Linked DNA regions of Struthio camelus. The protein of the gene in region 1 interacts with the protein of each later gene in a biochemical or structural test. Links are inferred from orthologs where the notes say so. Each region holds a gene or a part of one and is shown on either strand. Other genes may lie near its edges.

Evidence for each region.
Region 2: the proteins of ZBTB16 (region 1) and HBEGF form a complex in vitro, tested with the Homo sapiens proteins (2 studies listed by BioGRID). The link is inferred for Struthio camelus from reciprocal best matches to the Homo sapiens genes ZBTB16 and HBEGF.
Region 3: the proteins of ZBTB16 (region 1) and HDAC5 form a complex in vitro, tested with the Homo sapiens proteins (2 studies listed by BioGRID). The link is inferred for Struthio camelus from reciprocal best matches to the Homo sapiens genes ZBTB16 and HDAC5.

What each region holds. Positions count from the first base shown.
Region 1 is NC_090963.1:637,271-644,468, reverse strand, and holds the start of ZBTB16 (zinc finger and BTB domain-containing protein 16), read left to right. Parts: upstream 1-4,196; 5' UTR 4,197-4,280; intron 4,281-6,908; exon of another isoform or gene 6,909-7,036; intron 7,037-7,198. UniProt on the Homo sapiens protein: Acts as a transcriptional repressor. Transcriptional repression may be mediated through recruitment of histone deacetylases to target promoters. May play a role in myeloid maturation and in the development and/or maintenance of other differentiated tissues.
Region 2 is NC_090954.1:23,590,459-23,597,848, forward strand, and holds the start of HBEGF (proheparin-binding EGF-like growth factor), read right to left. Parts: upstream 3,029-7,390; 5' UTR 2,896-3,028; coding exon 2,850-2,895; intron 2,769-2,849; coding exon 2,595-2,768; intron 1-2,594. UniProt on the Homo sapiens protein: Growth factor that mediates its effects via EGFR, ERBB2 and ERBB4. Required for normal cardiac valve formation and normal heart function. Promotes smooth muscle cell proliferation. May be involved in macrophage-mediated cellular proliferation.
Region 3 is NC_090966.1:4,661,283-4,669,314, reverse strand, and holds the start of HDAC5 (histone deacetylase 5), read right to left. Parts: upstream 3,018-8,032; 5' UTR 3,003-3,017; coding exon 2,981-3,002; intron 1-2,980. Other genes in the region: HROB (homologous recombination OB-fold protein), read left to right, coding at 7,884-7,886. UniProt on the Homo sapiens protein: Responsible for the deacetylation of lysine residues on the N-terminal part of the core histones (H2A, H2B, H3 and H4).

The DNA.
Region 1 (7,198 bases):
AGCAGATAAGATACCCGGGGTTTATTGTATCTTCTGGCAATTATTAAGAAAATAAAATCTGTTAATATGTAACTTTGGATCTAGACTGACTTTTGGCTGCAGACTTTATTCCGACTCTCTTGTAAGTCCTGGCGTTCTGTGGCTTGCAGAGGGGCGTTAGGAACGGCTGCAGAGAGGAACGGGGATTTCCTTCGAGATGCAAATACCTCCGTAAGGCTGCCAGAATGTTTTAGAAACTGCCTAGGTTTGTGTGTGTGTGTGTGTGTGTGTGTGTGAGATTCGGTCGCCTAGGTTTTTCCTGGTGCGGGAGATCAGTCGACAAGGAGGAGGAGCCGCTTGGACAGAAGCTTCCCCAGCTGTGTGGGGACTCTGTGTGCATCTTTAGCACACACACATGCGAAAAAAGAGGAGGGGAGGAGAAAACCTTCCACAACTGTAGCCTGTTTGCACTGTCAAAAATAGTAATACCTCTTCTACACATACACACGCGCGCACTGGCAGACACGTGTTTCAAAAGGGGAACAGATGACTCATGCAACTGGAAATGGGATTCGGAGCTTTGCCCTTGCTGGAGAGGAAGGATGAACTGGGGGTAAAGGTGTTCGCTTGGGGCCAGGAGCTCCACACGCACCTTGCTCCTTCCAGCATGAAACTGAGCCAAAAGCATCCAAATAGCATACAGATTTACTTTTTTTTTTTTTTTCCCCAATGGGATGGCTAATGCCAGTTATGTTCCTGACTCACTTTCCAAAGCGAGGTCTACGCTCCAGCGTCGTTGAGGCTCTAGAACTGCGCTGCTTCAAGGCAGCAAGGAGCTGAAGAAATATGTTAAGGATATATTAATATCACACGCTCAGGAAAGCATGAGAATTGCAGAACTAGTTTGCAATTCTTGTTGGTATCCAAAGCTGGGCACGAGCCCGGTGGGGAATGAACATCCCCTTAGGGAGTTACCGCCCTGTACCCTGGTTCTGGGGGAAAGCCAGCATTATTGGTGTGCTGCAGGGAAACTATCGCCCTTCCCCAGCGCTATGTCCGCTCTGGAGAGCAGGGAAAGCCGAAGCGAGGGCGGGGGCACAGAGGAAAGGGAGGATACCATCCAGAAACGCATCTCTCGAATGAGATGGTCTAATATTGCCGAGGATGAGGCCGGCCCCCGCGGACTGCCGTGCTGGGGCCTCCTCTTGTCTGTCCTGGGTTTGGGGGGATGAAATTTACCCAGCGCACGCGCGACCGCCTCGGCGCCGTGCGGTTCGGGCCGGCATTTAGAGTCCTGGCACATCTTCCTTCCCGTCCCGTGCGAGATGTCAAATATTTTAGGTTAAAAGAAGGGGAGAAGAGGAAAAATAATTGCACAGTAAATTAAACAAAGTGTCCCCACACCCCAGCTTATTAACGCTTCAGAAGTTGCTGCTTCTGGCTCGAGCTGTCTTGAATGCATACAAAGGGTAATGCTAAAAATAGGTACTGTACAAATGATTAGGTCATCGCCTGCTAGAGGGAGACATTTTTATTTAATTACTAACCAGGCTGTGCGGCGGTGGTGGCGGTGGGGCAATATATAACAAACACACCAGTTCAAAGCCTGGCTGCCTGTTTTGCAGCGCTGTAAAGTTTGTGCTCCTTCGCTGAGTCACGGTGGATAAATCCCCTTTGTGCCGGGATTTGGGGTGGAATGCAGGCGGGCTGGCCGCCGCCGGCTCCCGCCGCAGTCGCAGCTCGCCGCCGGCTCGCGCTGTTTGCAGGCTTAGGGCCGTAAGCCACTAATTAGCCTTATTGTCTTACGGGCTTCCCAGCGCGCGTAACCTGGGCCAAGGGGGAGGAACGGCGAAAGGGCAGGGAAACTGCAAGCCTTGGAAACGATCGTGTGCGTGCCAAAGCCTACGAGGGAGGAACGGCAGTTTCTCGTTTCCTTTCGGGGGTACTTGGTATCTCAAAAGCCATCGTTCTTAAAATCCAGCAGGGAATTTAATTCACTCTTTTGATGCAATTGCACCGCTGTAGCCTTTCGCAGCCCTCGCCGCTGCGCAGCAAACGCTGCCAGCCACGGTTTTTGGGCTAGCTTAGGTGTGACTCAGAGGTGCTTGCAGCCTAAATGTCACGGCAAGGCCTGAGCTGCGCTGACTTCGGGTCCCAGCTTCTTGCTCTGCTGCGATGCTCCTTAAAGGAGCCCGGATTTCAAACAACCAACCATCGTGCCGCCCCCAAAGTCCCCCAAAGCAGCTGCGCCCTCTCGGTTGCCTTGGCACGGCAGCCGGTGGCACGATGAAGGGCTGCTCACGACTCCCTCCTCCCGCGTGCGGCCACGGCGCGCGCGGGGCCGATCAGCGCCGCGCCGGGGCTGCACCCCGAGCTGCCGGCCCGTGGCGCTTCTCCCCGCTCCTCCTCGCAAACGGCTTGACGCGTTCTTTTTTAAATGAAGTCTAGCACATTTAATCATCTCTTTCATGACCTGTCAGTGTGTCTTATATGCAGCAGAGCGCCGAACTGCTCTCAGTCGCAGAGCGAACTGGACGTGCCTAACAGCGCTAGGGCAGGCGCTTGTCGCGCGTGCGCTTACGCACGAGCGTTTGCATGTTGAAACCTTCGCCCAGAGTTGGGAGTAATGTCGCAAATCAGCTTTTAAAAGGGATGGCCCAAGTCATGGATTTTTATGATTTAGGTTAAAACGGCTGCTCTTTCCCACCCTGCCCCCAAATCGCTAAGGTACACCGAAAATCCTCGTTCCACTGTTAGAGCATTGGGCCGCACAGCAGCGAGACCAGGAAACTGCCCGAACCCGCCACAGCTAAGGGAACACAACGGTACCCATACCAAAATGCGCTAGTCTGAGCGCGGGGAAGTTAACGTTTCTGCAGCTTGCGTGCGACGCGGGTGCCCCCTCGCCGGTTTGGCGCAGGAGCAGAGCTAGGGCAGGCCAAGCTGCTCGCTTGTATTGGGGGGGACGTAAAAGAAATCGCAGCAAAGTGCAGCTGTAGGAGTTGGGCTTACTTCATCCCAAAGCGTTGTAGGGCTCAGCAGGCTGAAGAAGTCATAAGGAGTCGTGTCATCGTCTCTGGGGTGGAGAGCGGGGGCAAGGAGCCTGCGCCTGCGCGGGCCGTCCCCGCGCTGGAGGGGAAGGAGCAGCCGCGGGCTGACGGAGCCGAGGCAGCCCGAGCGCGCCCCGCTCCCCGGCGGCTTTCAGACCTGAGTGCTGGGCTACATATCCCAAACAAGGAACTCCCTTTTCTGCTGCAGTTTTGGGAAAATTCTGTGGAACGACCTTGTGCGTCTAAAGCCTTTTCTCCAGGGCTAACCTCTCCTTTTCGTCCCTGTATGCCTAGCTGAGTGCCCAAGGAGCAGCCCAAGGAACCGCCTTCCCTTATCCCTTGAAATACTTAGAGGCCATCAACTTGGCACATGTTTCGTTTGCAAATCTTATCTTTCTGTCTGCCTGCAAACACTTACCATGCTATTTATGTTAAGAAAGTGAATGTCTGTGTCTCCCCATCCAAAATACACGAATAACTCGGGAGAAAAAGTTACTGTGCGGCGATCGCTCCGTTTCCTGGGAGGGATGCGCATGCGGACCCGCACGCTACGCTACGTGTGGCTGTCCCGTGAAGAGCTTCTAGGCGTCGTGCAAGTCTCACAAGTTTAATGCTAAAGGTTAATAATAATCACAATAGGCAGCACATCATTGCCTCTGTATCTGGTTGAGAGATTTACAACTTAAACTCATGGCAGAGGAAGAAATTGCCTCAATCACTTGGAGTAATGGCACATGGAGAGCCGCTTGGGCGTGACTGCTATTTAACAGGAGAAACCCAGCTTGGCTTCGTTTAGTGTGCTGGTTCTTCTGTAATAAACACGTCACACTACAAGGTGAGGATTAACTTCAGAACAGCAGATAAATTGGAAACTGATGGGGAGAGATGAGAGTGAAATGGAATATGCTGGGGGGGCCCTGCTGGGGGTACTAGCCCGTAACTCCCGCGCTGGGTGCTGGGACACCACCGCGGGGGCCAAGGCTGCCGTTTGTGAGGGTGATTTCTCCTGGGCAGCGCCTGGGCTCTGCCCTTTGCACCAGCTGCGGGAGGCTGGGGCGGTGCTGCCGCCTCCTTACGGGGCCCACCTGGGGGCAGCGGGGGCCCTGCCTGGGGGTGCTCCTGTTCCCGCCCCTGCCCCAGCCGCAGCACTTGCAGCCTGGCGAGGAGGTTGGAGGCGGCACGTCCGGTGCGTGAACCTGGCAGGAGGTGGCTCCTTGCGTTTCTGCTGCCCTCCAGGGCAGGGACACCAAGGCAAGTGGTCGCGTTTGTTCCTCCTCTTAGACGGGTGAACTTTCCGCGGTTGGACCTTTCTTTTTCCACAGGAAGTCAGTCACCTGCTGTAAGCGAGGGTATAGGTGCCTTGAGCATGCTTGCTGGAGCTGGTGCAGTGAGGAATTTGCATTTTTTTAATGTTTCCTCTACGCTGTCAGTGTGGGGCCTTGCTGGGAGAGAGTGCGATGATGTTTAAGGTTGTGGACAAGAGTTTTTGGCTCTTTCCTGTTTTATACTTTTCATACTCTCTCTGCCTTGTGGCTAGTAAGGGGTTTCCCAGCTCCATGTGCGCGCAGGAGCGTGGAGGGCTGCAAGCATATGGAAGGAAACAGGGGCAACTCCTCCTAAATCGTGTGCTTTCTGAGGGGAAAAGCTGTTTCTGGCGTTGTCAAAGATGCGCTTGGCTGGTGTATTGCAGAAAGCTGATGGAACTAGTACTCGTGCTAGTACTCCCTGAAACTCCTACTTAACCTCTAAGGAGTAAGTAGCAGTTGGTTGGGGCCTCAATTAACTTGTCGCCTCAACAGTCGAGGCAAGGAAAGCAACTCGGCTCTTGGCCGTGGTGAGCGTGTGCAGAGCCCAGGTGGCCTGGCTGGAGGGGCAGGGAGAGAGACCGCGGTGGTAGTTTGAGGGGGACTCGGCTTTTTCTAAGTCCAGCTGCAGGCAGACAGGTGAGTTTTGAACCGTGCTCAGCGGTGGTAGTTTATTGGGGGCTGAGCTGCAGGAAACTCTCCACTATTGAGTCATCTCGGCTTAACGCCGTGAGTGCAATACACTGACAAATTTGGATTTTTAGAAGGACGTTCTGGTGAGAGCTTCTGACCAGCTCTTCTGCCCCTCTTCTGCGGGGGGACACCATCTTTTTTGCACTGTTTGTGCAATGTCTAGAACTAAAGATTCTTACATGGTATTGCAATGCAAGCAGGGAAAAAAAACAAAAAACAAAAAGGCATATGAATAACCGAAGTCAGTTCACATTTTTTCAGCCTACAGTAAAACAGAGGCTTGATTCTGCCTAGGGTCTCCGGGAGCCACTGCAGTAAACACTGCGGCACAGCTTGAAACCCCTGAAGGATTTAGGCACATCACTACCTAAGATGCACCTAGTCAGTGGATAAAGGCAGGATTTCTGCTTTCAGGGTCAACAATCCAATACTTTCTGGGGAAAAAAGTAGCTGTAGGAAGCGAGTCTCTTAAACAACTCGGTAGCTTTTATTATATATATTAAAACAGCAACAAAAAGTGCAATGCACCAGTTCGCAGCAAGGACTGGGGGGTTAATTTTCAGCATGCTGCATGGGAATTTAGCCGTGGGATTTCCATTATTGCTAATGGGACTCATGCAGCTTAATTTCATGCAAGCTACACTAAAAACATACCCCTAACTGTCTGCAAAATTTCAGTTCTGAAATCAAGCCTTTTAAAAGTTAGAGGAGGGTAAACAAACACCTGAAACCACACTGTCTTGCTGTTCTCCACTCCCATTCATTTTGAGTTAAAAGTGTGTGTGGGGGGGGAACTCGAGCAGTTTTAAGCAATTAAAAAGGAAAAAAAAAACCCAGCGCTCATGCTGACTGATGGCACTCCAAATTTTAGCTTTCTGCCGATTAAAATGGCAGAGTTATAACCCCTGGAAAATGGGGGTGGCTGATGCCTTATCCTTAACTATACTACTGCGAATGCTACATTATAATACTTATCTAATAACCTCAGCGCTGTCGCCTTTCATTATAAGGCCTCTGTGATTAGGCTGTTCTTGTTAAATGACCTCTATCAGCTGGTCCCAAAGTACATTAAATCCCATTATAATTATAAACACACTTCCCTGTAACATTCTCTGCCGCTTGCGTTCGCACCGCTTTACCCCCCCAAGGGTATCTTTGTACTAATGCCGTTGTGGGGCGGTGGTGGGGACGTGGGGCGGCCCGGGCTGGGCGGCGGCGGCTGTCCGTCCGCGCTGCCTCCTGGCTGCGCTCGCTGCTAGGGGCCGCGGCAGCAAACCGCGCCGCGCTTTCCGCGCTGCTCCTGAGGCTCCGGCACCTGCCTGCCCGGGCCGGGGGCGGCCAGCTGCTTCGCCCTGTCTTTGTTTTTACCAAACGCGCTGCACGGAGCCGACGTGCGCCCCCCGTCCCCGTCCCCCCCCCGGTGTCACCGTCCGCAGCCCTTCAGCGGCGGCGGCAGCGCTGCGCCCGGGGCCGAGGCGCGGAGTTCGCGGAGGGCAGCGGCTGTTTTGGGGGGGGGGGGGGCGGAGGGGGGGGGCCGCCCTGCCTGCCTGCCTGCGCCCGGGGGCGGCGCGGCCCCGACGGCGCGGCGGGGGCTGCAGGTGGCGGCCGGGGGGGCCGCGCCGCCGGCGCCGCTTCATTGGCTGCCGCCGCCGCCTCCATGTTTGTTGTTGGCAGAGGCCGGCGGAGCGGAGCGCTGTCCAGCAGCAGCCGCCGCCCCCCCGCCCCGGCTGCGCGGCCCCGCGGCGGCGGCGGCGGCGGGCGGGCGGCGCTGCGCGGGGCCCCGTCGGGGCGGGCCGGGGCGGGCCGGGGCGGCGGCGCCAGCAGTCAAGATGGAGCGGGCGGCGGGGGCGGCGGCGGCGGGGCCGGGGCCGGGGGCGGGCCGGGGGCGGCCTGACGTGGGCGCGGGGCGGCCCGCGGGGCCGGCGCCGCGGTGATTTGCTGCGCGGCGCGGCCGGCGGCGGCGGCGGCGATGAGAGCGGGCAGTGCGAACTGCCGCAGCAGCCGCCCGCCGTGAGTGCGCGCAGCGCGGAGCGCAGCGGAGCGGGGCCGCGGGGCGCGCAGCGGGGCGGGGGGCGCCCCCGCCACCTGATGGACGTTGCCCCCCGCGGGCGCCCGCTCCGCCGGTGCCGTCGGGCCGGGGCGCGGCAGCGGCGGCGGCGCCCGGCCCGGCTC
Region 2 (7,390 bases), on another chromosome or scaffold:
GCAAGGCCAGCTCCCTGCTGAATTGGCTAAGCAGGCCGGTGGGAACCAGAGCGCCAAGCTCCTTAGATGCTCCCCACAGACCCAAAGCCAAACCAGCAACATTACTGGAATAGTTTAAGACGGACAGATGCCAAAAATCAACCCCAGCTTGATCTCGCAAGGTGCCACAAAAGTTACTCACTGCTTGGAGAGACACTTTCTGCCGCTACAATCATGGCATTAAGAACTGCAGCGAGGCTGGGGAAATACAAACTAAATCACGTGCTGCACAGAGGGAACAAGGGGGAAAGGGCAACAGAGTCTAACCTGGCAAGTTTTAACATGCCTAATGCTTTCTCAACAACTTCCTCACATAACCAAGCCCTCAGCGTACGTAACCTTCCTCCCCATGCAAGCACCTCTCGTGCCACAGTGCACCATTAGTTTGCATGCCTAGGAAGTTATTTCACAACTTCAACATCCTTCAAGCTAGGCCTGGAGAAAAATGATACTCCAGGAAACTCTGTGGCTTGGAGAAACCCCCAGATGCGGGTGAGATGCAGGGCCCCAGGACTTGCCCCAGGCTGGCAGCAGTAGCTGTCCCCTCCCCTGTGGCTTATCTCCCTGCCGCAGCCAGTGGCACAGAGGGCTCCTCGCAGACATGTGCTATCAGAGGGACAGGAGCGGTGCTGCTGACCCCTTGGCCTCCCTCACTGCTGCCCTTCTCTGGCATTGACCCTTGTCCCTGGGACTCTGTCCCGTGTCCTCCAAGCAGCATGTCCGCAGAAGATTTGGGTGATCTTGCCAGTAGGAAGGGGGGGAAACTGGTGCAGTCCAGGTGGGCAGGGGGATGCCATAGATGGCCCCCCACACAGACACCCCAGCCACAGGGGAAAAGACCTGCTGTCCCCAGGGCTGGAGCACAGAAAGAAAGGTGCCTCTGGCACAAAAGGCAGATTCCTCTGACTATAACTTAGCAATGCTGATTTGGCAACAGATAACCCCCACCCCAAAAACTAGAGCCCCATCAGTCTATCCTGCTGCAGTCCTCCCTCCTCACAGCCCACACCTGCGAGATCATTTGCTCTAGGGTGGGATCTCCTCATTGGAGGGATACCTGGAGGACCAGAGGGCAGATGGGAGCATCTCTTTGCTCTCCTACTGCATCTCCCATCAAGAAAAGGAGCATTTCCCGAGGGCAGAATACCCTCAGACATGAGTGATCAGCCTGGTTTTGCAAAGCCAGGTGCTAGCATCGCAGTCTGACAGGACCAGACAGCCAGAAAGCAAAGAGGAAAAATGAGAAAAGATGGGAGGGTGAACTACACAGAGTAGAGCTCAATCCTCCTGGTGCTAGGCTACCAATCTCAGCATGCCACACCTGCAAGGCCAGATAGGCTCAGTCACCCTTCCCACGCTGTGATGGGTCCCATCTCACCCCATGGGCACGACCCCCCACAAGAGGCACCAGGACATGCTCTGGTCCCAACCCAGGGGAGAGGAGCCAAGCATGAATGCACAGAGCCTAACAGAGAGGCAGTGTCCCCAACGCCTCCGTAGAAGGGACCGCTGGGTGACTAACCCCAGCTAGGTATGAAGAGCAGCCGTGTGTGGGCGACGGGTGAGTCACAGTGGTCCCCTCCCCAGCAGCCACCATTGCCACTATCTGGAAGGCAGCATAGTCCAAACAGGCATACGCACCCAGCCCAGGACTGAACACCTGTGGGCAAGGGGTGCCACATGCATCAGAGGGCTCTCCCTTCCTGGGGCACAGCTCTCACTTGTAGGGCACGACCCAGGGACTGTGGGATCATGGCTCCTGCCCCCTTGCTTGGGAGCCCCTGGGACTGCCATGCTAGGGGCACCAGGGACACCCCCCTCAGGCAAAGCTGCCAAAACCCAACTGCCCTGACCTACAGCTACAAGTCCTGGGCTCTTGCCTGCTGCCCAGGGCTCCCACCCTGCCCCACACCCAGGGCTGGCACCATGGGGCAGGGACACCTTTGGGTGCCACAGCATGGGGCAAGGCAAGGTGCACATGCAGGGTGTTGGGGTACTGGGAGCTCTCAAGCAGTACCCTCGTGCCCAGCCCAGGCATTGGATCCAGCCCACTGTCACCCAGACGGCGATGGTGGCCTCCCCTGAGGCAGCCCACAGAGAGCTAGAGCTGCCACCCAGGGGGCACAGGGCTGCTCCAGCCTCACATGTTCCCCCTTGAAACTGGGCCAAGCCTGCCCCCGCCAGCTCCAGATCTGCACCAACACCCAGTGAGCATTTGGATTCAAATCAGGCTTGGCACCGAACCCACACTGCCTCCGGCCCCAAACTGGACCAGGACCCAAAGCAAATCCATATCTGAACCAAGCCGAGCTCTCCCTGCCCAGACTGGGATCTCAACCCGAAGCGGGTCCCCCTCTCTCCTTGTCCATATCCGACGCCACCCGGGTCCCCCTCAGCCCGCTCCGTACCCGACGCTCGAGGCCCTTCCCGCCCCGGGGCGCCGGTGCGGACCGACCCGACCTGAGCCCCCCCGAGCCAGCCCCGGCTCGCCGCGGGGGCCGGCTCCCAGCCCGCGCTCCCGCCCGCCCCAGGCCCCAGCCTGCCCCCGCTGGTACCTCTCGGCAGCTCGCTGAAGTCGTCCCCCGAGGCCACTCCGCCGCCCTCCTTCTCGGGGCTGCCGCGGAGTAGCGGCGCCGTGGCCGGGACCGGGGCCCCTCCACCGCCGTCCTTGTGGAGCACCTCGTTGTGCAGCACGTCCCGGCCGAGCCCGCCCGCCGCCGCGGCGCACACTGCGCAGGGAACAGGGCACGGTCAGCGAGGCCAGGCGCGCCGAAGCCCACATCCGCTCCCGCTCCTCCCGCGACTCTCACCTGCGGCCAGCAGCGCGTTGATCACCACCACCACCCGCCCGTCCATGGCTGCCCTGCCGGCACACGCCTCCTGAAAGCCGCGGAAGCCTTTTCCCAGCCCCGGCCCCGCTCCGGCCCCGCGACCACGTGCTCCGCTCGGCCCCGGACCGACTGCAACTCTCGGCGCGCCCGGCCCCGCCGCGGGTAGAAGGCAGCGGGCAGCGGGGCGGGCCCAGGCGGGGCTGCGCTTCTCCACGCCCCGCTGGCGGGGCCACGGCCCTGCCCCGGCCCCGGCCCCGGCCCCGGCCCCGGCCCCTGCGCCTGCCCCTGCGCCTGCCCCGGCCCCGGCCCCTGCCCCGGCCCCTGCGCCTGCCCCTGCCCCGGCCCCTGCGCCTGCCCCTGCCCCTGCGCCTGCCCCTGCCCCTGCGCCTGCCCCTGCGCCTGCCCCTGCCCCTGCCCCTGCGCCTGCCCCTGCCCCTGCCCCGGCCCCTGCGCCTGCCCCTGCCCCTGCGCCTGGCTCCGGCTCCGGCTCCGGCTCCGGCTCCGGCTCCGGCTCCGGCTGCGGCTGCGGCGGCGCTGCCCGGGGCGGGACAGGCCGGCCACAGCGAGCCGAGGCAGCCCGTGCTCCGGGGCGCGGGACCACAGCCGGCCGCTCCCAGCAGCCGAGAGGGGCCGCGGCAAGGCAGCTGCACGCCGGCTCCCAGGGTGCTGTCTCCTTGGTGGGGGAGATGAGCAGGGGCACCCCTAGGCCAGGGCCTCTGCCCTGCTGTCGACCTCAGCCCTGCGGCAGCCCTACTGCGAAGCCCCCGCGCCTCATTGCTTCAGTGTCACGCAGATGGGCAGGCTATAGGGCATCCTGCCACCTCCTGGGCCGCGGGCCCCCTGCTCTACCGTGGGGTCAGGATGGGCATTGTTGACACCTTGTCTGGCGTGGTGGCCTGCATGGAAGCCAGATGGAGTCAGAGAGGTTGCCCAGCTGCTCCTCATGCTCCCCGGTGGGATTTCTGCTCTGTTGCAGTGGAGGGAACACATGTTTCATGGCGGCTGGATCCTGCAGCATGCACAGAAGAGCTGCTGGAGGCCTCCCATGGCTGCAACCCCCCAGCACAGGCATTGGCAGAGACGAGAGGTCCTTCATTCCCAGTCACACTGATAACACCACCACTGCGGTTAGCAGAGGGGTGAGAAGTGCTGTGCACGCTGTCAGCTCAACAACAGGAACAGACTATTTTGTGGAGAGGCCAAGGAAGCTCTGTAGTCCAACAGTTAGAGCTGGAAACAGTAAGAGGTGCTGTACTAAAACTGTAGAGGAGAACAAATGGTTTAGAAAAAGTGGATTGGAAACCTTCTATTCTCTCCTCTCGTGCAAGGCAGGAAGAGAAGAGATCACTGAGGATTCAGCATGAACCATTGCACTGTGGAACTCACTGCCACAGGATGTTGCTGAGATCAGAAGATTAGTGCTCAGAAACAGCCCAGAAGATATTAGGAGGAATAAGGGTCTCCAGTAAGTTCACCCTGCAAGAAGAACATCACACAGGAGGCAAGAAATCATGTTCAGGGCTGTTAACCTGTTTCTGCCATTAGCAATGAGGATGACACCCTGTTAGGGGACAGAATTTCACCCACATGCACTTTACCCTGGTGCCACCCTAAATTGGAGGAGGGACTCTAGGGCAGTCTACGAAGATGGTGGAGATCTTTCTGGTTAGAGTATAGAAGACCTCGAGCCACCTTTGTGCCTAGATGGAGAACCCATTAAACAGGTTGATTCATAGCTTCATCACACAATCCTGTATGAACCCAACTTACTCAGCCAATTTCCGAGCTCCTGGCCTCATGGTGCTCTTTTCCTTAGTTCCGGTCTGTGGTGTTTCTGTTTAGGGGCTGGCTGTGTTTTGATCCATCTCTTTTATCATGCTGGGAATCACTTTGGCTCTTATTGTATTTGGCCTCATTTTCATCCCAGGTGACAGGCTAGAAAACAGTGATGACGCCAAATGTTGGGCAAGTAGAGCAGCTTTGCATTGTTCCAGGTTGCATTTGGGATGGCCACATCCCCCTGATTATTCCTCGTGGCAGCTCCAATTCCCAAGCCCCGAACCCTGGTGCCAGTTTCGGTTCAGCAAGGCACTGTAGTAGCGTGATTAAATATTCCTGTGATTGTTGTTGTTGTTTCCAAGGAATACTTCCGGATTTGGCAACCCCCGCACACACACCCTCCTTCTTGCTCAGACTTGACTTTTGCAATTGTTTGCTGGATGGTGTTCCTTCCGGCTCCTCCAGTCATCATCAGCCTTAAAGTATTTGGAGGCCAGAACTGCTAGTGCAGACAAGATGAGTTCATCACAACCCAGTGATTCCTGCTGCTCTGACAGATGAAGGTATTGGTTGCCTTGAAGACTCCCATGCTATTTGCTTCCCAGTTATGTAACTGCTTCGGGAAGGGGTTTGCTTCCCTGGTAGTTCCCTGACACGTTCCGCCAAAATCCCCCCAGGAGGTTCTACAGAGTTGATGCATGGGATATGTGGGAGGTGTGTTTGCTGACTTCCCTGGCACAATAAAAAGCCAGTGAGCAAGTTAGGATAGGAAGGCAGCAGGTCACATCATTTGTGAAGACGACTTTTTTTACTGCACTCCTGAACCCTCACAAAATGTTTATGTCTCTGGCTCAAAGGGTGGGCAGTTGTAAAGGGTTGTATTTTGAGGCTGTGGCTCATGCAAAGAGACCTGAAAGACTTCATAACATTGGTAGTACAGTCTCCTGGCTGGGCTGTGCAGCTCTTGGGGGTGACATGATGAGATGTGTCAAGTCTTATGTGTCTGAGCCCAGCATTTTGCCTGGTGAACCAGGTTCGAGTCCCCAGATTTCCTGACTGGTGCCTAGGCACAGAAGCAGCCTTAATGGGACTAGTGACCAGTGGGACCAGCAGCTGAGCCTACTAGTAGCAAAGGAGTGGGATGGCTTTTCCCTCTATTTCCTGCTCAGAGGTACAAAGCAGACCCTGAAATCCTTCATTTGTGCCCCTGGGACAGGGCAGGGCCAGTGTTTGTTGGCCTCTTTCTCTTAAGCAGCAAACCTTTAGCAGCTGTCATTCCTGTCTGCCTCCTCCCAGCCTCTCCCATCTGCCTCTCAAAGCCCTCCTGCGGTCACCAGCAGTCCTCATGGCCTGAAGACCTTCTACTGGCTTCCATTAATGTGGGCGTTACAAGCTCACCTGCTCTGAAGCTCAAGATTCTGCACGCATGCCTGCCTCGTCCTACCTGTATACTGTCTGCCTTGCTGCCCCACGTCCCTCGCATCTGGGGAGCAAAGAAGCCAGCTGTGGCTGACAGCCATAGAACTTGGCCCTCTCCTAGCCACAGCACCGTTGCCACCAAGACCCTTGTGCGGGAGAAGCAACTCTCTTAACAGGGGTACAGGACCAAAAAAAACCCATGCGCTTTCAAACATATTAAGAATCATCTTTCAAGCATTCAGGCTCTACTAATGAGACCCTAGGAAGACCTGCAAGAAGGCTGGTGTGCCCTGAAGCCTTGCCCCTCTTCTTATCTGATCAAGCAGCTGATACTGCTGCTTTTGCAGCTTTGCCTTGCTTCCATCCATAGCCCATCAAGGCTTCAGCACGGCTGCTGTGTTTTATGGGAATGCTGAGGTCAATAAAAGTGTTGTTTTGCCCTGGAAACGGCTTCAAGACTTGCTCAAGACAGGTCAGCCCTTGCTAACTGGCTGAAATTGGGCAAACACTGCCAGCCTGTTACCCTGCCAGTGTCAGAGTGGTTTCAGGTGCTATTCCTGGCCCTGGGCCTGTGCCAGTTTCAGTGGCTTTACAAACACATTTTTTTTCCTGTTCTCCAAACTGCCCTTCTCTCTGGCCACTGTCTGAAAAGACTTTTTGCAAACAGAGGAGAAAAATGGCTGAAAAAAACTAGCCATTCAAGAAGAACCAAGACAGAAGCCAAGCTCAAAGCCTTGTCCAATATATCAAGGAAACACCCTGGGAAAGATAAAGTTGTTTACAGATCCCTTTCATCTCCTCTCCTTGCAGCGGTATGTTGAAAACCACGTAGAAAACAAATCCAAGTACAAACACGATCTTCTTTCCGGGTTCCTGCATTCCTTTCGCTCTGTGGCTGTGCCTCGTGAAGCCATCTTCCCTAAAGTGCTCTGCTGGCCTGTTTCCTCCGGGGCCCTTGCTTGCGGCATGAGAAGATGGTGCACGGGGAAAGCAGTGGCTGCTCCAGCCTCCAGCTCCCCCAGCCACTCCTCTGGGATCGCCTGGAACAGGGCTGGGCACCGGAGGCTGGGATCTGCCCTGTGGTCCATGCCAATGTGCACACCCCACTGCTGGCATTCACCTCTGCTCTCAAAGCAAACTGCAGCTCAGCTTTTCCATGCCACCTGCACAGGTGGCTGTTAACAGGCCAAATGAAAGTTGCCGCATAACTCATGGTATGCAGACTGCCCATTTACATGCCATGGCACACTCCTTAGCAAATGCTCTTATCGCAGAGCAAACAACCATGCTGGTGCATGGAGCCCTGCTGGAGGTAGGCAAGG
Region 3 (8,032 bases), on another chromosome or scaffold:
AGCTCCAACACCACACACACCCGTGCACAGGGAGCCGGTCCCCTCCACACACACCCATGCAAGGGGAGTCAGGCTCCTCGTGCACACTTGAGCAAGGAGAGCCGGCGCCGACCCCGCGCACACCCGTGCAAGGAGAGCCAGACCCCTTCATGCCCACCCGTGCAAGGAGAGCCAGCTCCGCCCCTGTGCACGCCCGGGCAAGGGGAGCCGGTCCCCTCGTGCACACCCGTGCAAGACAGCCAGACCCCCTCCGTGCACGCCCGTGCAAGGAGAGCCGGTCCCCTCGTGCACACCCACGCAAGACAGCCAGACCCCCTCCGTGCACGTCCGTGCAAGGAGAGCCGGTCCCCTCGTGCACACCCACGCAAGACAGCCAGACCCCCTCCGTGCACGCCCGTGCAAGGGGAGCCGGTCCCCTCGTGCACACCCACGCAAGACAGCCAGACCCCCTGCGTGCACGCCCGGGCAAGGGGAGCCGGTCCCCTCGTGCACACCCACGCAAGACAGCCAGACCCCCTCCGTGCACGCCCGGGCAAGGGGAGCCGGTCCCCTCGTGCACACCCACGCAAGACAGCCAGACCCCCTGCGTGCACGCCCGTGCAAGGGGAGCCGGTCCCCTCGTGCACACCCACGCAAGACAGCCAGACCCCCTGCGTGCACGCCTGTGCAAGGAGAGCCGGTCCCCTCGTGCACACGTGTCTCCGGGGCCGAGTCCGTGCCGGGGGGGCCCGCGGCTCAGCCCCCCACAGCAGAGGCAGCGCTGCCACCAAGCCCACCGTGCCGCGCACCAAACCCCGGGCGAGACTGCAGCGAGGACGGCGTCCTGCCACCGTCCCCCTGGGCACCCACGTGCCGCCGTGTCCCCCCCCCAGGCTGCAGAACCCCGGTTGACCCGGGGCTTCCCGGAGCCGAGCGAAGCCCAGCGCTTGCGCTCGGCCCCGCGTACAGCGCCAGGCGCGCGGCCCCAACCCACCACCCCAAACGGGCAGGGAGGACGCGGGGAAACCCCCCCCCCCATCGCCGCCCCCTCCTCGCAGCGCCGCGCCGGCAGCGTTCGCTCCGGGCTGCTCAAAGCCGCCTGGCAGAGATAAGCGGCTTAGAGATCCAGCTCTAAAAATACCCGCCGGGTATTCTTAGCCGCTGGCAGGCGGCGAGCGCCGGCCCCGGGCACCGGCTGCGAGGAGGAGGCAGCGGGCCGGGACGGCGGTGGGGGGCACCGCGCGGCGCCGCGGGAAAAAGGGCCAAGCGGTTCCCGCGGCAAGAAGCAGGCGGGCGGCAAGCGGCGGCGCGGGGCACCTCGGAGCGCCGCGGGGATGGGGGTCACCCACCCGCCCCCCCCCCCGGCGGCACTCACCTGCGGCGGGCAGGGCGGCGCGGAGCTGCGCGCGGGACAGCAGCTCCAGGGCGGGCCGGCGGCGAAAGGCGAGCGCCCCTCCGAAAGGGTCGGCGGCGCGCCGCGGCGCCCAGGGCAAGGGGCCCGGCGAGCGCGCCGGCGGGTTCGGCCGCCCCACGCTGCCCTGCCGGGGCTCGGCGTGCCGCTCTCCGCGGCCCGGGGGGGGGGGGCCCTGGGGGCCGCTGGAAATAGCGGGAGCGCGGGAGGAGCCAGCTATAAATAGGGTGGCGCGCTAGGGGAGCCGGGCTCCGGGGACGCCCGCCGGCACCAGCACCCGCCGGCTCCGGCACGGCGGGGGGACGTGCTGGGTACAATGCAAAATCCCCCCAAATGCAGCGCTGAGATGGGGGTGGGGGGGGGGAACAAATCACTGCTCGCCACTGCCCCAGCCGCTGGCTGGGGGTCGGGGACCAGGCTCCCCCCACCCCGCGCCGGGGTCCCAGCCCGCAGCAGGGTCCCGCGGGCACGGCCGCCCCCACGGGTGCCGCTCCGGCCCCCCCACGCCCCATCGCCCAGCAGGGTCACCCCGGCACCCCCAGCCCCTAAATTGCTCCCGGTGGTGTGTTGTGTCCCCCCCCCCCCAAGGAGACCCTAATTGCTCGGGACGTTAATCCGCATCAGCGCTGCCAGGAATAACATCCTGGTTGCACCGAGGGGGATTAACACCCCCCCCCAGGACCCCCCCCCAAACCCCCAGTGGCGCCGACAGCCGAAACCGGGAGCCGTTTTCTGCCGGATCAGTGACGTGAACCGGCTCACGCTCCCGGGGGGGGGGCACACGACGGGGACCCCCACGAGCCACACGTCCCACTGCCGCCCCCCCCCGCGGGGGGGGGCCGTGCGTAAACCCCCCCCCCCCCAGCAGGCAGCCACGTTTATTTACCAGCGTGTTTAATCCGAGCCTGAGACTTTTAATAGCCGGGATATTTATGGGACGCCTCCCCCCGTGCCGCCCCCCCCCCCCAACCCCGGCCCCCCGCCCGCCGGGGCGCTTTGGGGCTTGACGTCAGCGGAGCTATTTTTGGCACCGCCGTCGGGCAGGAGGCCGCGGGAACGAGCCCTCGCCGGCCGCCGGACCCCCGCGGCACGCACCGCCCCCCCCCTCCACCCCGGCTTTGGGGCTGAACTGGGAAAACGGGTGCAAGCAGAGAGCGCTCCCCCCCCCCAAATCCCACCCTGGGGTGCATCAAGCATCCGAAGAGCATCGCGGACCCCGACCCGGTCTCGGCCACCAGGTGCCCGGGACGGACGGGAGCCTGGCGACGCCGGGCTGAGACCTGCCCAGCTCATCACACGCGGCCCGCCGAGCAGCAGCCGCCCAAGCTCAAGCCGCCGGGCTTCGGCTCCCAAAAGCACCATCCGAAAAGCCCGGCTCGATCCAAACGGGGGAAGAAGAGGGGGGAGGACGGCGGAGCGGGAGCAGAAAGGGAGGGAAGGGGCCGGGCCGGGCCGACGAGCGGCTGCGGGGTCCCTGAACCCATTTCGCAGATGGGGTAAAGAGGACGGGGGCAGCGGCGGAGCCCCCCACCCCGGGCCGGCGGCAGGTGGGCAAAGGGGGGGGGGGGATCCCGCCCCGCCGGCGCTCACCTGCGTCGCTCCGGGAGTCCATGGCGGCCGGCGGGACGGGACGGGACGTCGCGCAGGAGGCCGAGGCGGGCGGCTCGGCCGAGCGGCCTCAGCACCGCTGCGCCATGCCCCGAGGAGGCCCTGCGGGAGGGAAGGCAGGCGAGCGCCGTCAGCGGCCCGGCCGAGCGCCCGCCGCGAGGCCACGGTGGCGGCCGCCGCGTTACACAAGGCTCCGCAGGGAAACGGGAGGGGGGGGGGGGCGGCCGCGCGCGGGGCAGCGGCTGGACACGCGCGGGGCAGCGGCGGCCGCGACCCTGCATCGGGGGGACCCCGCACCCGTGGCAGGTTTGGGGTGGGGGGCGGTCAGCGATAGAGCCGAGACCGGTGCAACACCCCCCCCCCAAACATGCGTTTGCAAACAGCCCCTCTGCGGCCCGGGCCCCACGCACAGCGGCGGCGCGGATGCACGGGGGCCCCCCCGGCATTGCACGGCCCCCCCACCCACCATTGCATAGCCCCCCCCCCTCCGGCATTGCACGGGCCTCCCCCCCCGCCCCGCATTTCACGGCCACCCCCCACCGCATTGCACGGCGCAACCCCCGGGGCACGGGCCCCCCCCCGCCGCATTGCACGGGGCCCCCCCTCTCGCCTCGCCCGGCATAACGCGCGCTGCACGGTGCGTGTGTGTGTCCCCCCCCCCCCCCCGCGCGGCATCGCCCAGCGCATCCAGCGGTGCACGGCGGCCCCCCCGCCACATCGCCAGTGCGCGGTGCCCCCCCCCCCAAAAAAAAAAAAAAAAACGCCATTACATGCTCCCCGCGTTGCACGGCGCCCCCGCCCCGGTGCACGCCGCACCCCCCCCCGGTGCACGCCGCACCCCCCCACCCCCCCCGGCGCGCGGGGCCGTTACCTGCGCGGTGCCGGCGCCTAGCGGGGCCCCGCGCGCCGCCCGCCGCGCGCCCGGCCCGGCCGCGCCGCCCCGCGCGCGCCCCGCCGCCCCTCCATCTTCGCCGCGCGGCCCCGCCCGCCCCGACAACAACATTCGGTGACGTCACTCGCCGTCACGTGACGGAACCCTGCGCTAAAAATAGCCTCGCCGCCACCGCCCCCTCCCCCCCCCCCGCCCCGCCGCCGCCTCCCTCCCGCCCCCTCCCCGCCGTCCTCCTCCTCCCCTCCCGCCCGCCCGCCCCGGGGGCGGGGCGCTGCGGGGCAGCGGGCGCGCGCCTTAAAGGGCCCGCGGGGGCGCGCGCGGGAGCGCGCACCGCGGGCTCGCGTGCAACGGCACACGGGCGTGCGTGTGCACTGTGGGCTGGTGTGCAATGACACGCGTGTGTGTGTGTGCGCGCACTGCAGGCTGGCGTGCGACAGCGCACGTGTACGCGTGCATGCACTGTAAACTGGTGTGCAACGGCACGTGTGTGTGTGCACACTGCAGGCTGGCGTGCAATGGCACCCTGTGTGTGCATGCAGTCCAGGCTGGCGTGCAACGGCACACGTGTGTGTGTGCACATGCTCACACACAACGGCATACTTGTGTGTTCACGCGCTGCAGGCTGGCATGCAACAGCACAATTGCGTGTGTGCATGAGTGTGCATGCATGCACACGCTGTGAGCTGACGTGCAATGGCACACATATGCATCTGTGCACTGCAGGCTGGTGTGCGTGCGTGCATGTGTGCATGCACTGCGGGCTGGCAGGCAATGGCATGCGTGTGTATACCATGGGGCTGGCATGCAACAGCGCACATCTGTGTGCATGCACCACAGCCTGGCGTGCAATAGCACCTGTGTGTGTGTACACCACAGGCAGGTGTGCAACAGCACACGTGTGTGCATGCTCGCCAGAGGCTGGCATGCAAAGGCACACGTGTGTATGCACGTACACACCATGGGCTGACATGCAATAGCGCACGTGTGAGGCTGTGTGTGTGCCACAAGCTGGCACGCACATCTGAGCAAGCATGAGTTGCGTGCAACAGGCTGGTGTGCAATGGCACACACCTGGGAGTGCACGTGCACAAGAACTGGTGTGCAATCGCACTTGTCAGCGTGGGACAGGCTAGCAAGCAGCAGCACACACGTGTGAGCAGACGCGTGATATGCTAGGGTAGAGCTGCCCGTGTCCGATTGCGTATGTGCAAGCCTGGCGTGCAATTGCACACGTGTGGCAACAAGTATGTGCGACAGGCTGGCCTGCAGCTGTGCGTGTTTGAATGTGCATGCAACAGGTTGGCCTGCAGTGGCACACGCGTGCGACTGCGTGTGTGTGGCAGTCTACCGTGCAGCTGCACATGCGTGTGCAGCAGGCTGATGGGCAACAGCACATGCAAGTGAGTGTGCACGCACAACGGCCTGGCGTGGAACAGCACACGTGTGCCAGCGCTCACATGCAGCAGGCTGGTGTGCAGCCACACGCACTTCGGCGTGCACGCACAGGAGGCTGCCACACAGTTGCACACGGAAACAAGCATGCATACAACAGGCCAGCGTGCAAGTGCACACAAGCGAGGGTGCACGCACGTGCACGTCTGCGGTGCACCGGCGTGCAACTGCCTGCAGGGACGCGCACAGGAGGCTGGTGTGTGCAAACGGGTGCACTTGGAAGGGGGGGAGCAGGGGCTCTGTTTCCCCGTAACAGCCCCCACCCCGGACACCACGTGCGGTGCGCTGCGTGTGCGGTGCACTGTTGCAGCACGCGCGGTGTGCTGCGTGTGCATTGCGCTGTTGGCAGGGTGTGCAGCGCGCGCGGTGTACTGTTTACAGGGTGTGCAGCGCGCGGGGCGCGCGTCGGGCAGGGGCCGCCGAGGGATGAATCACGGCGCGGCCGCGGATGTGGATGAGGATGCGGTGAGTCACCGCGAGCGAGCGAGCGCCCCCGGGGACGGCCCCGCACCGCGCCGGGCGGGCGCTGCGCGCGCACACACGCGTGCACGCACACGTGTGCACAGCTGCAGGCACACAGGTGCACACGCATGGCCACGCACCGCAGCTACGCACAAGCGCCCGCTCGCACGTAAACGTGCCCGCCCCCACCCAAGGGTGAGGGGGCCGCTGGCCACGCACCCCGCACGGCACCACAGACCCGGCACCGGGACCCTGCACCCCACATGGGCCCTCTGCACCCCACACGGGGCCATGCACCCTGCACAGGGACCCACGCACAGGGCCACGCACCCTGCCCAGGGGATCATGCACCTCGCACGGGGACCCTGCACCCCCCCCATACAGCTACGCACCCCCTATGGGACCTGGGCACCCTGCATGGGGACCCTGCACCCCACATAGGGCCATGCACCCCCCATGGGACCTGTGTACCCTGCATGGGGACCCTGCACCCCCCCCCCCATACAGCCACACACCCCCCCCATGGGACCTGGGCACCCTGCATGGGGACTCTGCACCCCGCACGGAGCCATCCACCCTGCACAGGACCTGGGCACCCTGCAGGGGGACCCTGCACCCCCCTCCCATACAGCCATGCACCCCACATGGGACCTGGGCACCCTGCATGGGGACTCTGCACCCCACATGGGGCCATGCACCCTGCACAGGACCTGCGCACCCTGCACGGGGACCCTGCACCCCCCATACAGCCACGCACCCCCCATGGGACCTGTGCACCCTGCACGGGGACCCTGCACCCCCCATACAGCCACGCACCCCCCATGGGACCTGGGCACCCTGCATGGGGACCCTGCACCCCCCATATGGCCATGCACCCCCCATGGGACCTGGGCACCCTGCACGGGGACTCTGCACCCCGCACGGAGCCATGCACCCTGCACAGGACCTGGGCACCCTGCAGGGGGACCCTGCACCCCCCATACGGCCATGCACCCCCCATGGGACCTGGGCACCCTGCAAGGGGATCCTGCACAGGGCTCTGCACCCTACATGGGGACCCTGCAGGGGCCCACGCACACTGCAAGGGACCCATGCACCCCGCACAGCACCCTGCACAGCAGCCTGCACCCCACACGGGGGCTGCTCCAGCCGGGGAGGCTGCGGGGCCGCAAGTCCCCCTGGTGTCTGGGGCAGGTTGGGATGGACGGACAGACAGCCGGGCTGGCGGGGTGGGCGGGCAGAGGGACACAGGGACATGCGGGATGGACAGACAGACGGATGGCTGGGCTGGCGGGGCGGACGGGCAGCGGGACAGGTGGGACAGACGGACAGATGGACGGCCAGGCTGGTGGGCAGAGGGACACAGGGACAGGAGGGACAGACAGATGGATGGACAGACGGGCTGGTGGGGTGGGCGAGCAGAGGGACAGAGGGACAGGCAGGATGGACGGACAGACAGACAGCCAGGCTGGCAAGGCAGGCGGGCAGAGGGACAGGCAGGACGGGCGGATGGACAGCCAGGCAGAGGGACAGAGGGACAGGCGGGATGGACAGACAGACGGCCGGGCTGGCGAGGCAGGCGGGCAGAGGGACAGGCAGGACGGACGGATGGCATGCAGCATGGCTGGACGGGGGGGTGATGTGTGGGATGGAGGGACGGACGGACGGGGCGGACGGACAGCTGGACAAGCAGGCGGCTGGAGAGAGGGATGGCTGGGCGAGCAGACGGACGGACGGACGGACGGACGGACACAGGGCCGAGAGAGGGCCCCAGGGTGCCCAGGATGGGCAGACGGGCGGGACGGACGGACGGACGGACGGGCAGCCCCCGGCGGCGGCAGGCCTCCTGCCACCTCCCCTTTAAGACAAGCCGCGGCATAACTGCCCGCCGACGGGAGCCCGGGCGCCGGCGCAGAGCGGCGCCGAGCCGGGCCCCTTAAAGGGGCAGCGCCCGGCGGGGCCGCGGGTTCGCGTCCCGGCCCCGCCGCCGCCGCCGCCGCACTTCCGCCTCCCGCCGCCGCCGGGCCTGGGCCGCCGCGGCCCGCGCGCGTGGGCGGGGGGCCCCGCCGCGCCGCTGCCATGGTAACGCCGGGCGGGAACGGGCCTGCGGGGGGGGAACCGGCACCGAGCCCCGCGGGTCCCCGGGGCGGGCAGGGCCCGGCAACGGCGGGGGTTGGGGTCCGTCCTGCCGGGGGGGACGGGAAGCACCGGCAACGGCGGGGATTTGG